3 linked regions of the Nothobranchius furzeri genome follow. The protein of the gene in region 1 interacts with the protein of each later gene in a pairwise test. Links are inferred from orthologs where the notes say so. Each region holds a gene or a part of one and is shown on either strand. Other genes may lie near its edges. The genes, in order: ap1g1, AP-1 complex subunit sigma-2 and ubl7b.

Region 1 (4,259 bases):
TAAATTCTGCTCTAAACAAAGAGGAAAGACGTTGTTTAGAAGTATTGTACAACTGTCGGAAATGCCTGTCTGCATTCATAAACAACTACTGTTGTTTATGAACTCGAATGTAGAAATCAAGACGTTTTGTTAGAGGAAAATGAGAAACACTACCTTCCTGTGTTGCAGTCCTCAATGGAAGTTGATTATTGTGATGTTTAAACCTACTAGAAGAAAAACATTTATTACATAAATGTCTAATTGGTGTGGCTATCTTGGAGGTTTGAAAAATAGAAATAAAACTCTGTTGGTGTTTTACAGTTTCTGAACGGTGAAGGTCCAAACCAACAGCTTGGTAATTACACTTGAGGCTTATGTCATTGTTTTTAAACTAAAGTCCCATTGTTTTTATCACACACCTCCGTATTTGACCCATCCCCATAGAGGGGAGCGGTGAGCTGCAGCAATGGCTGCGCTCAGGAACTATTTGGTTGTTTAACCCCCCAATCCAAACCCTTAAAGCTGAGTGTCAAGCAGGGAGGCATTGGGTCCCATTTTTAAAAGTCTTTGACTCGACCGGGAACTGAACCTTGATCTCCCAGTCCCAGGGCGGACACTCCACCGCTGGGTCACTGAGCTGGTTAATTACGTAGTCCCGGTAATACCGTACACCGTGGTAAAATGTGGAAGAAGCTAGACGGTATTAAAATTTGGATACCGCCCATGACTAGCAGAGAACATCTAGGCTAGTAGAAGCTAACTGTTAACATTAGCAACTCCACCACACCACACAGCATAACTCCTCCAGGGTTGTGTTATTTGTGGAGATAAACCATCAATGTTGCAAAGCAAAAGGAGTAAGTGGTAGAGTTGTGTTGTTATCCAAAGACAAAATGTCCAAATATCAGGAAATAAGAAGCTACTTTGTCCTCCAGTAGAATTCTCTGCTGAAAAAGGCACACCAGAGCTTTTAAAGCCTTTTTTTAAAGATTGTGGTTTTGTGGAAAAACCCAAGAATTCACTTTGATCAATGGAGAAGCTGGACAGAAAAGGCTACTTTAATAAAGCCAGAGACCTACTGTCTGTTCCAACACCATTTAAATGAGCTAAGCAGAATGGACCCAAGTGTTGGGCTCCATGAATCAGGTCTCTAGCTGTGTTTATAATCAACACAGAAGGTAAATCCAGCCCCTGATGTGAGCTGATTAAACTACTTTTCTATACTTTAGCAGACCAAAAGTATACTCAGTAACAAAAAAAATCTACTTTAATAGATTTTTCTTTTTTTTTGCTGCCATATTTGTATTCAGATATAAACAAAACAAGATTAGCTTTTCCCATGTAATCCTACAAAAGGGTGTTGATTCGAATGCAACACTCTTCTGCCTATACTGTTTATTTAACCCATGTAAATCTGGCATATGTGGCTGTTTAAAACTGTTTTCCTATAATAAAAAAAAGTCTTGTTGCAAATACTTGATTCCACAAACTGAAGGAATAAAACTTGAATTCACTTTGTAACTTCTTCCTTGAGACTAGTAAATGGAGTTGCAAAGCCCAACCCCATAGCATTACTGTTGATTTAGATGATAAATTGAATCACAGGAAGTTCAAAAGTTGAAAGACTTTAAACTTCCAAAGTACTTTGTTTGCTGTATGCTGCAATCTAAACACAAAGTTGGCCCAAAACAAACAGGCGAAGACAAATAAGATCATCTCAGCTACTTGTATACAAATCATCAATCACCATGAGAGCACTGGCTCTACCTGAAGCAGTAGAAAAGGGTGGTAATGTTAATGTGACAGGTAACGTAAATCCACCAGGTACCGAAGAATGGCACATGCCTCACACTGGTTAGCTCACTTCCTTCTTACTGTTGACTTCCCACAGATCAAACGTTTTCAAGCTACAGGTGAGGTGACACTAACATGACACACATATGTGATTAAATGAGTGAATCTGAATGTAGCCTTCTTCAAAACGTCAACACCTAATATCATAAAACTTTAGCAGATCACCGTCTACGTTTTAACCACAAAGCTTCCTAGATACCCGAAGGCTTGTTGGCTAAAAGTTTATAAATCATTTAAAGAAACGCAGTCCGACGCCATTCCCAAATATAACACGGTTGTGATTAAATTTGCAAAGGCAAAGCACACTTTTCAAAACAAGCCATTGACGAGCTAGTGCGCGTTTAAAGGGCACGATGATAGTTAATCACTACAGCGTCACCTTGACTGACACTATTCACCTAAACTATAATTTACCTCTATAGCATTACACAAAATGGACTAAATGGTGAAAGGGGGCATTAACCTGCGTCTAATCGCCAATTGATCAGGGCATGATGCAGTTAAGGCCTTCTTCAAGCATTTGGATTATCGAGCTAGCGAGTCATCCTTACCGTTAGCTAACTAGAATGCTCTGGAAACGAGAGAGCGTTTGTTGGTATAAACGCCTTTAAAAGGATATTAAAAATAAATTCAGAGTTACAAGTTGTCATGATGTTTGTGTGTTGGTGAACAGTGACACTGGTGTACCACCTAGCCCAGCTAACTTAGCTGCTGACAGGCACAGCCCCGGTGCACTGAGGGCTGCCACTTCCTATGCAGCGCTAACACTGAGTTAACACCGTAAATACAATCAAAACACAGATAAATATACATCGTTAAAGCGACGTATGCACATTTATGACAAAGTGTTATTTACTGAATGTACTTACAAGCCGTAATGACGCCAGGAAAGAACTGGAATCGTCTCTACTAGCAATGAAGGGAGGAACACACTAGACATGCAAAATGGTGGCTACTCCAGCCTCAGCACATCTACCGCAGGCGGAGGGTTACGCTGGCGGAGGTTGGTGAAAGAAGGTTAAAGCAAGCAAACGCAGCATATAATAGTCGGAAATTTTGCAAACGTGAACGAGTCACACGTTTGTAAAAATTGTAACTCCTAACTACTTTAGATATCTAAAGATGGTTATTGTCTGAAGTAATCCCCATACATTTTTAACATGCTGAGCAAAATATTGAGATACAAACTATTTAAATTCCGTATTTCAATGCTTCCAGATAAATGTTTGTACGAAGCACAGTAATTATTTTGGGAGATTTTTACATTTGCAAGAAGCTATTGTTATTCACGTGTTAAAATGTAATTACATAGCTCATGTGCACTTTGTTTATATGTTACAACGACCTGCCAACAACGCAGACATCCAGCTCAAGTTACATTAACGTTAGCCTGGACCAGAGCTCATCACAATCTGCCTCTGACCGAGACTCACACCTGATATGCCAGTATTAACTGGACATTATGGGTAATAGTTTAATTATGCTTTCGTTATCACAAGAAATCTGGCTAGGTGGATGAATTCTAAACCATTTTTGTAATTTACCTGTTCATGCATTGCCTTGCAAGCTTACCGTTCTCGCAGTGATTCAAATAGCTAACATTTTGTTGGTTAGCCAGCTATATATCGTTAAAACAATCTCACTCAGAAGAGTTCCGTGTGACTGAACATTGCGCCTTTCTGCTCTGTTGTAAGATGTGTCTTGTATCGTGTCTTTGTTATACACGAATCTCATGACACCTTGATTATTGTGTTGGGACGGCATATTTTCGTTTAACCTTGCGGAGGAGTACGTTTTTGCCGTGTCAGTGTCGTGCTGCGGTCAGTTTACTCGTGGCATTCAGTGATGACGACTACATCAATGTTATGGCTATAGGAGAGCAGTGGTGTGTAGCGCCACCTAGTGTTGTTACTGAGCTGTCCAAGAAACCATTTTTTAATTGCATTACCTGTTATGTAAGGTACTGCATCCAGTTTGTTTTTGCACAATTTTATGAATGTATTATTAAATATACATTTATTTTACAGTTTATTAATTAATATGGATTTATTATTTATAGTAATTATATAACCCAATTATTATTAGGAAAAGTTAGTGCATTTAACGCTAATTATGTGGATTGTCGTTAGGAATTTTCGGGTCTCGGCCACAGTTTAAACAAGTTTTTTTAATTACAAGGCACATTTGTATGAAAACAACAATAGAACGTGTGTAAGAGTAATTATACAAATGCAGATGCTCAAGTGGCTCCAAAACATACACCAGGGGGCGCTGCAGCATTGCATTATAGTACTATGATTAAAAAGTCTCGTTTTTAACTTTGACAAACTTAACACTTATTTTACGAAGTTATTTTATCTTTTAATTTTATTGAAAATACTAAGTTAACACAGCTCTTCTGTTTTTACATGTTTACACTTAAAGAC
Region 2 (4,018 bases), about 18 Mb from region 1:
GGTTATACAAACACAACACTGACACGGTAAATGAGGAGAAGACACAATGGAGGCATGGATGTGATCAGATCAGTGTGAGAAGCAGGGGGATTTATGTCAACCCAATTTCTTCTAAGACACTACGTGGGGCCTCTGCTTCCTGTAAGAGTAAAGAGAAAGTATCAGGACACCTGTCACACATTTTATACATAAAAATATCAGCGTTAGCCACAAAGTCAACACAAGCTTTAACTTGCAAAGAAGACAGCTTTCAGGCACACGGTGATGTGGTGTTTAGGAAATGATCGTACCTCCTGCAATAAGTCGGCTTGCTCGATGGCCTTCAGCACATTCTTTTTGGATGTTTCCTGGGCCTCTCCGCCCAGCAAGAACTCATCCAGGATAAAATAGGCCTTCTCAAAGTTGAAGATAATATCAAGCTCACACACCTATAGGACAAAAGCACCATATAAAAAAACTACAGAAGGTCAGGGAAGATTCCATCTTTGCAGCTTCTCAGCACTACAAATGTGTAATATTTGCAAAACTCACGCTGCCAAAATATTTGTCCAGAAGCTCCACGTATCTATGGATGATTTCCAGGGTGATCAACTCGTTATCTTGATCCTCAACGGCGCAACAGAAGTACAGACTGGCATATCTATTTATGTATGAAGAGAGCAGACATGCAAAGATCAATAATAGCAAAAAGGGTGGGACAGCATTTGTATTTTCACAACTTACATGCATGTTTGTAATTGTTAATAAAATGAAATCCTAAAACGGTTTCTCACATGATCCTCTATGGCACAAATCAAGCAGCTGGATTCCTTACAAACATGTCCAGATGCGGCCACATGACTCCCATCCTGAATAGCACTGGCTTCCAATCTGTTTCCGAGTTCAGTTACATGTTTTAACTTTTGTGTGTGATGGCTGTAATGGTACAGCTCCCCCTTTAGAGCTGATCCTGTCCTATGTCTCCTCCACATCTTTGAGGTCTGCAGATCACCTGCTCCTGTGTGTCCCTAAATTGCACTACAAGTCTCAGGAGCAAGTAGGGCTGGGCGATATGGCCTCAAATCTATATTGCGATATAATCTGAAGCATGTGCGGTAACGATATATATTGCAATATTTTTTTCCCCTCTGTTAATACATGTCAAATTGACATGCTTTTAAATATCCTCATGTGACAAATATATGCCACTTGAGGCATATAGGCCTCCTCCTCCGCAATATCGCGGTATTGCGATATAGCCAAAAACACTATCATTAGCCAATTTTTTATCATTTCTACCTGATATCGTTTATATTGCCCACCCCTAGGAGCAAGTCTAATTTGCCAATCCTAAACTCTAAATTCACTCGTTACATGTATGGCAGGCCCCATTAATAGCCCGTTTTAAGTCTGTTCTTAAGGCCCACTTTTATCATTTATCTTTTGGTCAGTAATTAGGTTTTTCATCTTTTACCATCTGCCGTGTATGTGTGTTTTATTGGATTATGTTTTGCTGCTCACGTGTCTTCATTATTGTGTTTTTGCTTTTCAAAGCCCCTCCTCTTTTAACCTCCTTGTTCATGTGGTGCATTGTTTTAGATATTATACCTTGCTGTGTTTCTATCAACTAGATGTGATGCCGTAATGTCAGACATTGTTGTCTGTCCTGTAACTACGGAGCATCCTTGTTCCTTTGTGAAGTACTTTGGTCAGCTGTCACGATGTTTTTAAATGTGCCATTTACATAAACACGGTATGTATGAGCTACTTTAGCCAACTTTTTCTAGACTATTTCTGAATTTGCTGATGAAGATGCAGTTTTTAAAATAAATCTATAAATATTTTAACATGGCAACAAGTAACAATAAGCATCCAGTTGAAAAGACTTTATTCTCACATTAATGTTTATATAAATTAGCTGTAGTGAAAATCATAGAGAAACGTTTTTGTTTTTGCAGGTCTCACTAAATTGATGTGAAAAAGCCTGTAAGTGAATATTTTAAGCAGATTATGGTCAATTTGAGGAAAAACAGAAGTGTGTGCATGCATCATCAAGTGTGAGGGTACTTGAATGCCCTCTAAAACTTTTAACTTACCTTTTGTACACAATCTTGAGGTCTCTCCATTCCAAGAAGCTGCACATCTTGGGCTTCCTGGCCAGAATGGTCTGGACCAGGTCTCTCGAGATCTTCTTCCTCTCCTTGTCAGACAGAGGAACATACCATTTCTGTAACCGCAGCTTCCCCTGCCGGCTGAACAACAGCATGAACTGCATCTGAGGAAGGAATAATGATGGTCGACATGTAGATACAAATAAATACGAAGAACAAAGGAAGACTGGATGTTTGAGGGTATATGGATGCGGGAAACTGAACTAATCACGCAGCAATGAACGTGAGGCAAAAAGTCAGTGAAATTAGATTTGACTGAACTGTTTACTAGGATACATGGAGGTACCATTCGATCAAACGACTTTTAGACTCAGTACATAACACACCCGTGAGGCTTTAACATAACGTTAGATTATCTCACGTTAGCTAAGGTCGCTTAATTGTCCTATTTTAACATCTAAACCACGTTTCGTGACATTTGCACCCCCTCCTGCGACGCCTGCTTAGCTACAGCAAACGAGACTGAATACTCATGACTTTTAATTTGGTCTGCAAAACAGTGACTTACACGAACTGAACTTCAGTACAGTAAAGTTAAAAATATTACCATAGAGAGCCAAAAGACACTTCTATCTGTCAGATGATTAGTTCCTCCTTCTGCTCGATGCTAAACTGCCTAGCGAATGCTGGGTGTGAGAACAAGCGCAGGGATTGGTCAACACAGCAAAGATTCTGCAATGTGATTGGTTGAAAGGTTCCGTTATTCCTTACGTTGTACGTCAATCCAGAAAACATTTTTGTATCAGAGGTGCTGAATTTCACTTCCACCAGAAACCTAAATGTGTTATTTTAAAAACAACAAGAAACAACCAAACACACAAGGAAGCGAAGACTTTTTTTAGAGTTAAGCAGCTACATAGATGCGCCCACAGTAATTTCCTATTAATGAGTAAAGTAAAATTAACAGTTGTGAGGGGCAGAGTCTCTCTCTCTCTCTCTCTCTCTCTCTCTCTCTCTCTCTCTCTCTCTCTCTCTCTCTCTCTCTCTCTCTCTCTCTCTCTCTCTCTCTCTCTCTCTCTCTCTCTCACACACACACACACGCTCGCACATTGGTTTTCTTTTCAGATTCTTCAATTGTAAAACCGACCTCTGCTGGACTTTCGTCGCCCTCAAGTGGCTGGCTGTGGTATTACAAAACAACAAAAGTCTTCAAAAACGTGTCATGGTTGTTTTTCTAATGTTTGTGTTAAAATGTTTCACTTAAAATATGTCTCTATTTCGGCTCTAAACAAATAATAGTAAAGATAATTTTGCATATAATAAGAACTATTCGAAGAGAATTTTCATAAAGAAAGTCTCGCAACTTCAATGTACAACAACAACAATCCAAAAACACTTTGATTAGAATATACTTTATTGATCGCACAGTGGGGAAATTCACTTGCTACAGCAGCGCACACACTTGGAGAAAAAGGAAGAAAACAAATAATAACAAGATTACAGGTAAACACACAAACGCAATAAGCTGTTATTGAATACTTCATCCACTAAAAACAATGAATAAAAATGAAAATTGTGTTTCCAGAACTATACAGCACAAAGGACACAGACATATTAAAGAGCAAGTCACCCCCTACCAGAGTATTACTCCACTCCCACTTCCAGTTTGAAAAATGCTACAAATGCTGTTGCCTAGCAGACTGAAAGGGCGGAGCCACCAACAAATATACACACATACATTTCACACAAATCTGTTAAAAACAGGGTCATTGGCCCAGGTTAATGGTTATGTGATCTGATGGAAAAAACATATTTTAATATGATGATGTCAAATAAATGAATTTACTCAGTAAGGTCCTGACTTTTGAATGAGCAAGAATGATCTTTAGCTTGTTCTGTTGCAGGTTATTTAGAGTCATTACAATTTA
Region 3 (4,213 bases), about 15 Mb from region 1:
CTCCAAGCCCTTTCGAGGACTCATCCAGAGTTTCAGCAGTTTCGGAACCGCTGGAGGAGGTAATGCAAAGAAGGATTCTCCAGAGAATCAAGAAAATGATGGACAACCCTGAGCGTTCTCTTCACAAGACTGTCCGACAACGGAAGAGTGTCTTCAGTCAGAGGCTTCTTCAGTTTGGCTGCAACACTGACCGCTACTGGAGATCCTTCCTGCCAACAGCCATTGTAATATACAACAAATCTTTGATGACTTGATTATTATTATTATTCTGAGCTACTACAGCAATCAATTTCCCTCTGGGATTAATAAAGTATTTTTGAATTGAATTGAAGAGGGAGCTGAGCCAGAAAGCCAGGCTCTCGATTTACCGGTCGATCTACGTCCCAATCCTCACCTATGGTCATGAGCTTTGGGTAATGACCGAAAGAACGAGATCGCGGATACAAGCGGCCGAAATGAGTTTCCTCCGTAGGGTGGCCGGGCTCAGCCTTAGAGATAGGGTGAGGAGCTCGGACATTCGGGAGGGACTCGGAGTAGAACCGCTGCTCCTCCGGATCGAAAGGAGCCAGTTGAGGTGGTTTGGGCATCTGGTCAGGATGCCTCCTGGACGCCTCCCCGGGGAGGTGTTTCGGGCATGTCCTGCCGGCAGAAGGCCCCCGGGTCGACCCAGGACACGTTGGAGAGGTTACATCTCCAATCTGGTCCGGGAACGCCTTGGGGTCCTGCCGGAGGAGCTGGTGGAGGTGGCCGGGGAGAGGACGGTCTGGAGCTCCCTAGTTGGGATGCTGCCCCCGCGACCCGGACCCGGATAAGCGGAGGAAGACGACGATGATGACAACGACAGCTCGGTTGCTTCAAGCACAATTTTGAGCAGTTTCTAGTATATGAATTGCTTTATTTGCTGTTTCCATGTTTCTTTTCTATATGTGGACCTTAAAATCCATCTTACAGCTGCAGAACTCTCTTTGGACAGAAACATATTTGTCTTACCGTGTTTATTTATTTATTGTACTTTGGGAGTTCTGCTCCACAGCTGATGAAGGTTGTGCTGCCCACTATTTACCAACAAAGCTCTAAATGTGAGTTGATACCACAATGTGCTGAAATGCAAATATGAACACGTGTCCTTTCAGAGGGATGTGCATGATATGTATTTAGTATAATCACTAGTGAGGCACCGATGTGAAATTTTTGGGCCGATACCGATAAACTGACATTAATGCTTCTAAAACCAGCAGACTTTGTATAGATAAAAGTTATTAAAGCTGAATTTACTTTATTATGTACGCACAACACACACATTTATGGTTCCGAGATGATTTCATTCACTGTTCACATGACTAAACAATTACACATCACCCCCCCCCCCCCCCCCCACACACACACACACCCTCTGAAACAGGCAGACAAATGGCAACTAGTTGGAACAAAGATTGGTAGATAATATCGGCCCGGTTTCATTTATCGAACTGATACCGATACGTTAAAAATGACTAACAATGGCCGATACCGATATGCTGTCCATCCCTAATAATCACCATCTGATTAATTATATATTTGCACTGAGAAGGACTTTTTATAACTACCAACACTAAACTTGATCACTTGTGCCGGCTTCAGATGGAACGTAGAGAGCTGTGAAGGTAAGATCCAATCTAGGTTTGTAATTAAAACCGGAAATATCAAATGTGTCATCTATAATGATCACCCATAACTCAAATGCAGCTCTTTTAGATGTTGAATACGTGTCTGATACTCAGCACAGCTCTGTGAGGTCCATGGATCCTCTACTTACGGAGTCTCTATAGGCTGAGCTGAGAGAATGAAGAGCAGCGTGGAACACCTTGAACTCCCGAGCTGCAGTTGCTCTGTTCACAGGTTCTACGCAAATACAAAAACAAAATGACACACATTCAGATTCATGAATGCATTCACGTTTGTTTTAAGTGACACACAAGCGGACAGAGACCTGGACTGCTCTCTGGCTCTGGCCACATCCTTTTGAGGACATGTAAGGTGGATCCTGGCTGAACTCCACAGGCATCCAGCGTCAGATCATCCTTTAGCTTCCGGCCACAGTGAACCAGCTCTGGTCAAAGCACAGACAGGACAGTTAAAAACTCCATCTGACTACCTGCAGCTCATGCGGACAGACCTATTAGTTCAGGGTCCGGGACGGAGTCCGGAAGCTGAGCTGCTACCAGCTGCTTTAAGGTGGCCACTCTGTATCCTCCAGGTGGGACGTCCCCTGGCATCATCTCTGGGAAGTGGAAAGTGGATTTGGGCTGATCCACCAGCTTCAGGGACAGGTGCCAATCTGAAGAGGCCATCTCGAACTTCTAATGACAGAAAATACAACATCCACATTCCTGGATTACAGAGATCGATAGAAAACGATGCTAAAGCGAGATGTTCCTCACGTAAAATGTTACACGAGTGTACGTCTGTTTACACATAAGTTTCCCAGAATAGCCAAGACATAATGTAAACCAACACGGTTCACTAACATTATAAAACCTAACACTTCTTTTCTGCAGGCTGACTAAGGAAACTGTCGACTAGCTGCCTAGCATGTCCTTCAGAAACAAGCGATTTGCTACGTTAAACGTGAAAGTTTCATCCAGTGTGATCAATTAGAATTACTTAACTAACGTTTAAATAACACAGACCTGTCAAACATAAAGGCTAGAAACGCCGAGGACGATGGTAAAAGTGACTCACTCACCGTTTGCTGTTGACAATCAACTCACTTCCTGCTTTTGGTCACGTGGCCTGTGTTGCGTTTCAGTGCACTGTCTGAATGCTGGAACTTTTAACATCACCAAAGAAGCGCAACTCCCCTTTTCACGCTAAAGAAACATTCGTTGATATTTGTTCTCATAATTTGTGGCAAGTTTAATAAATCGAAACAGTAAATGATAGATAGATAGATAGATAGATAGATAGATAGATAGATAGATAGATAGATAGATAGATAGATAGATAGATAGATAGATAGATAGATAGATAGATAGATAGATAGATAGATAGATAGATAGATAGATACATAGATAGATAGATAGATAGATAGATAGATAGATAGATAGATAGATAGATAGATAGATAGATACGTTAACGTTAACATAATACCCTCACCTGTTCTTTTACAAATAAACAAATTAAATAAAAGTACATATTGTTTTGTGTAGATAAAGTAAAATACCCCTTATGTAACTATTATTTCCGTAAATAAAGAACAAATGTGTATTTTCTAAGTAGTTATAGTAGTTAAATGAGTTAAAATATACAGTAACATTTAACGAAATTAGGGTTTTTATAAAAAAAACTATTTCTGTTTAATAACCTTTTTATGAATAAGCATCAAAGTCAGTAATACATGACTAGGATGGTGTGATGACGGGCTCCAGCCGTCCAGTAAACGGTTAACCCCGTGTGTGGGGGTCGGTACCGGGGGAGGCTCCGCATGACATCACCGCTGGACAAAGCAACAAGGAGTGGTTTCTTCTAGGAGAAGCTTCCCAAATCAATGAAACATCCCGAACTCGGACGATTGTAGATTTAGAGACGAACCAGAGTGGAGCCGGTTTAGAAGAGCTGACTTTGTGGAGGAATGAAGTTCTGCAGAAGATAACTCCTCAGAGAGAGAGAGAGAGAGTCTCCGCCGCTGGACGGTCGGTGAGTTTCGGGCTTTGCCTCCAGAATACGGTCATGGTTTATAAATAAGTATCTAAACGAGCAGAAACCAAGGAGATGCGAGTATTCATGGAGTTAAGAGTGTTTAACTTCGGTGAGAAAACGAGCAACAGCTGTGGAGGAAATAAGAAGTCACTGAGCAGCAGGAGGACCAACTTCTGCGTTCAGGCTCGAAACTCGCCTTAATTCAGCTTTTTTCTCTCTGTGGGAGAAACTCAGAGGGTCTCCAAGCCCCTCCAGCATCTAAAGGTGATGAAAACTACAGCATGAACGCGCAGACTGCGCCCTCCTCTCACCGGAAACCCTCCTGCACCAGCATCAAAGCCATAGTTCAGATGTTTGGGGTTGGAAAGGCCTGCTAAGGAAAGTTTTGGTCAATAAAGTCTCATTTCTAGAGCTTGTTATTCTACCATGGTGACTGCAGGGACTTTTAAATGGCTCTCAACTGGGATGAAGTATTGTGCGCTAATATAACAGATATAATGCGCATTAATAGGCTCCTCTCCTTATTAAGACAAAG

The links.
Region 2: the proteins of ap1g1 (region 1) and AP-1 complex subunit sigma-2 interact in binary tests that used the Homo sapiens proteins (3 or more experiments, as listed by UniProt). The link is inferred for Nothobranchius furzeri from reciprocal best matches to the Homo sapiens genes AP1G1 and AP1S2.
Region 3: the proteins of ap1g1 (region 1) and ubl7b interact in binary tests that used the Homo sapiens proteins (3 or more experiments, as listed by UniProt). The two-hybrid records come from large-scale screens. The link is inferred for Nothobranchius furzeri from reciprocal best matches to the Homo sapiens genes AP1G1 and UBL7.

The regions. Positions count from the first base shown.
Region 1 is NC_091749.1:59,385,950-59,390,208, forward strand, and holds the start of ap1g1 (AP-1 complex subunit gamma-1), read right to left. Parts: upstream 2,819-4,259; 5' UTR 2,703-2,818; intron 1-2,702. UniProt on the Homo sapiens protein: Subunit of clathrin-associated adaptor protein complex 1 that plays a role in protein sorting in the late-Golgi/trans-Golgi network (TGN) and/or endosomes.
Region 2 is NC_091749.1:41,412,232-41,416,249, reverse strand, and holds the start of AP-1 complex subunit sigma-2, read right to left. Parts: upstream 2,808-4,018; 5' UTR 2,701-2,807; coding exon 2,698-2,700; intron 2,255-2,697; coding exon 2,076-2,254; intron 641-2,075; coding exon 532-640; intron 429-531; coding exon 291-428; intron 140-290; coding exon 92-139; 3' UTR 1-91. UniProt on the Homo sapiens protein: Subunit of clathrin-associated adaptor protein complex 1 that plays a role in protein sorting in the late-Golgi/trans-Golgi network (TGN) and/or endosomes.
Region 3 is NC_091749.1:74,652,436-74,656,648, forward strand, and holds the start of ubl7b (ubiquitin-like protein 7b), read right to left. Parts: upstream 2,815-4,213; 5' UTR 2,726-2,814; exon of another isoform or gene 2,670-2,725; intron 2,340-2,669; 5' UTR 2,331-2,339; coding exon 2,156-2,330; intron 2,090-2,155; coding exon 1,970-2,089; intron 1,882-1,969; coding exon 1,796-1,881; intron 1-1,795.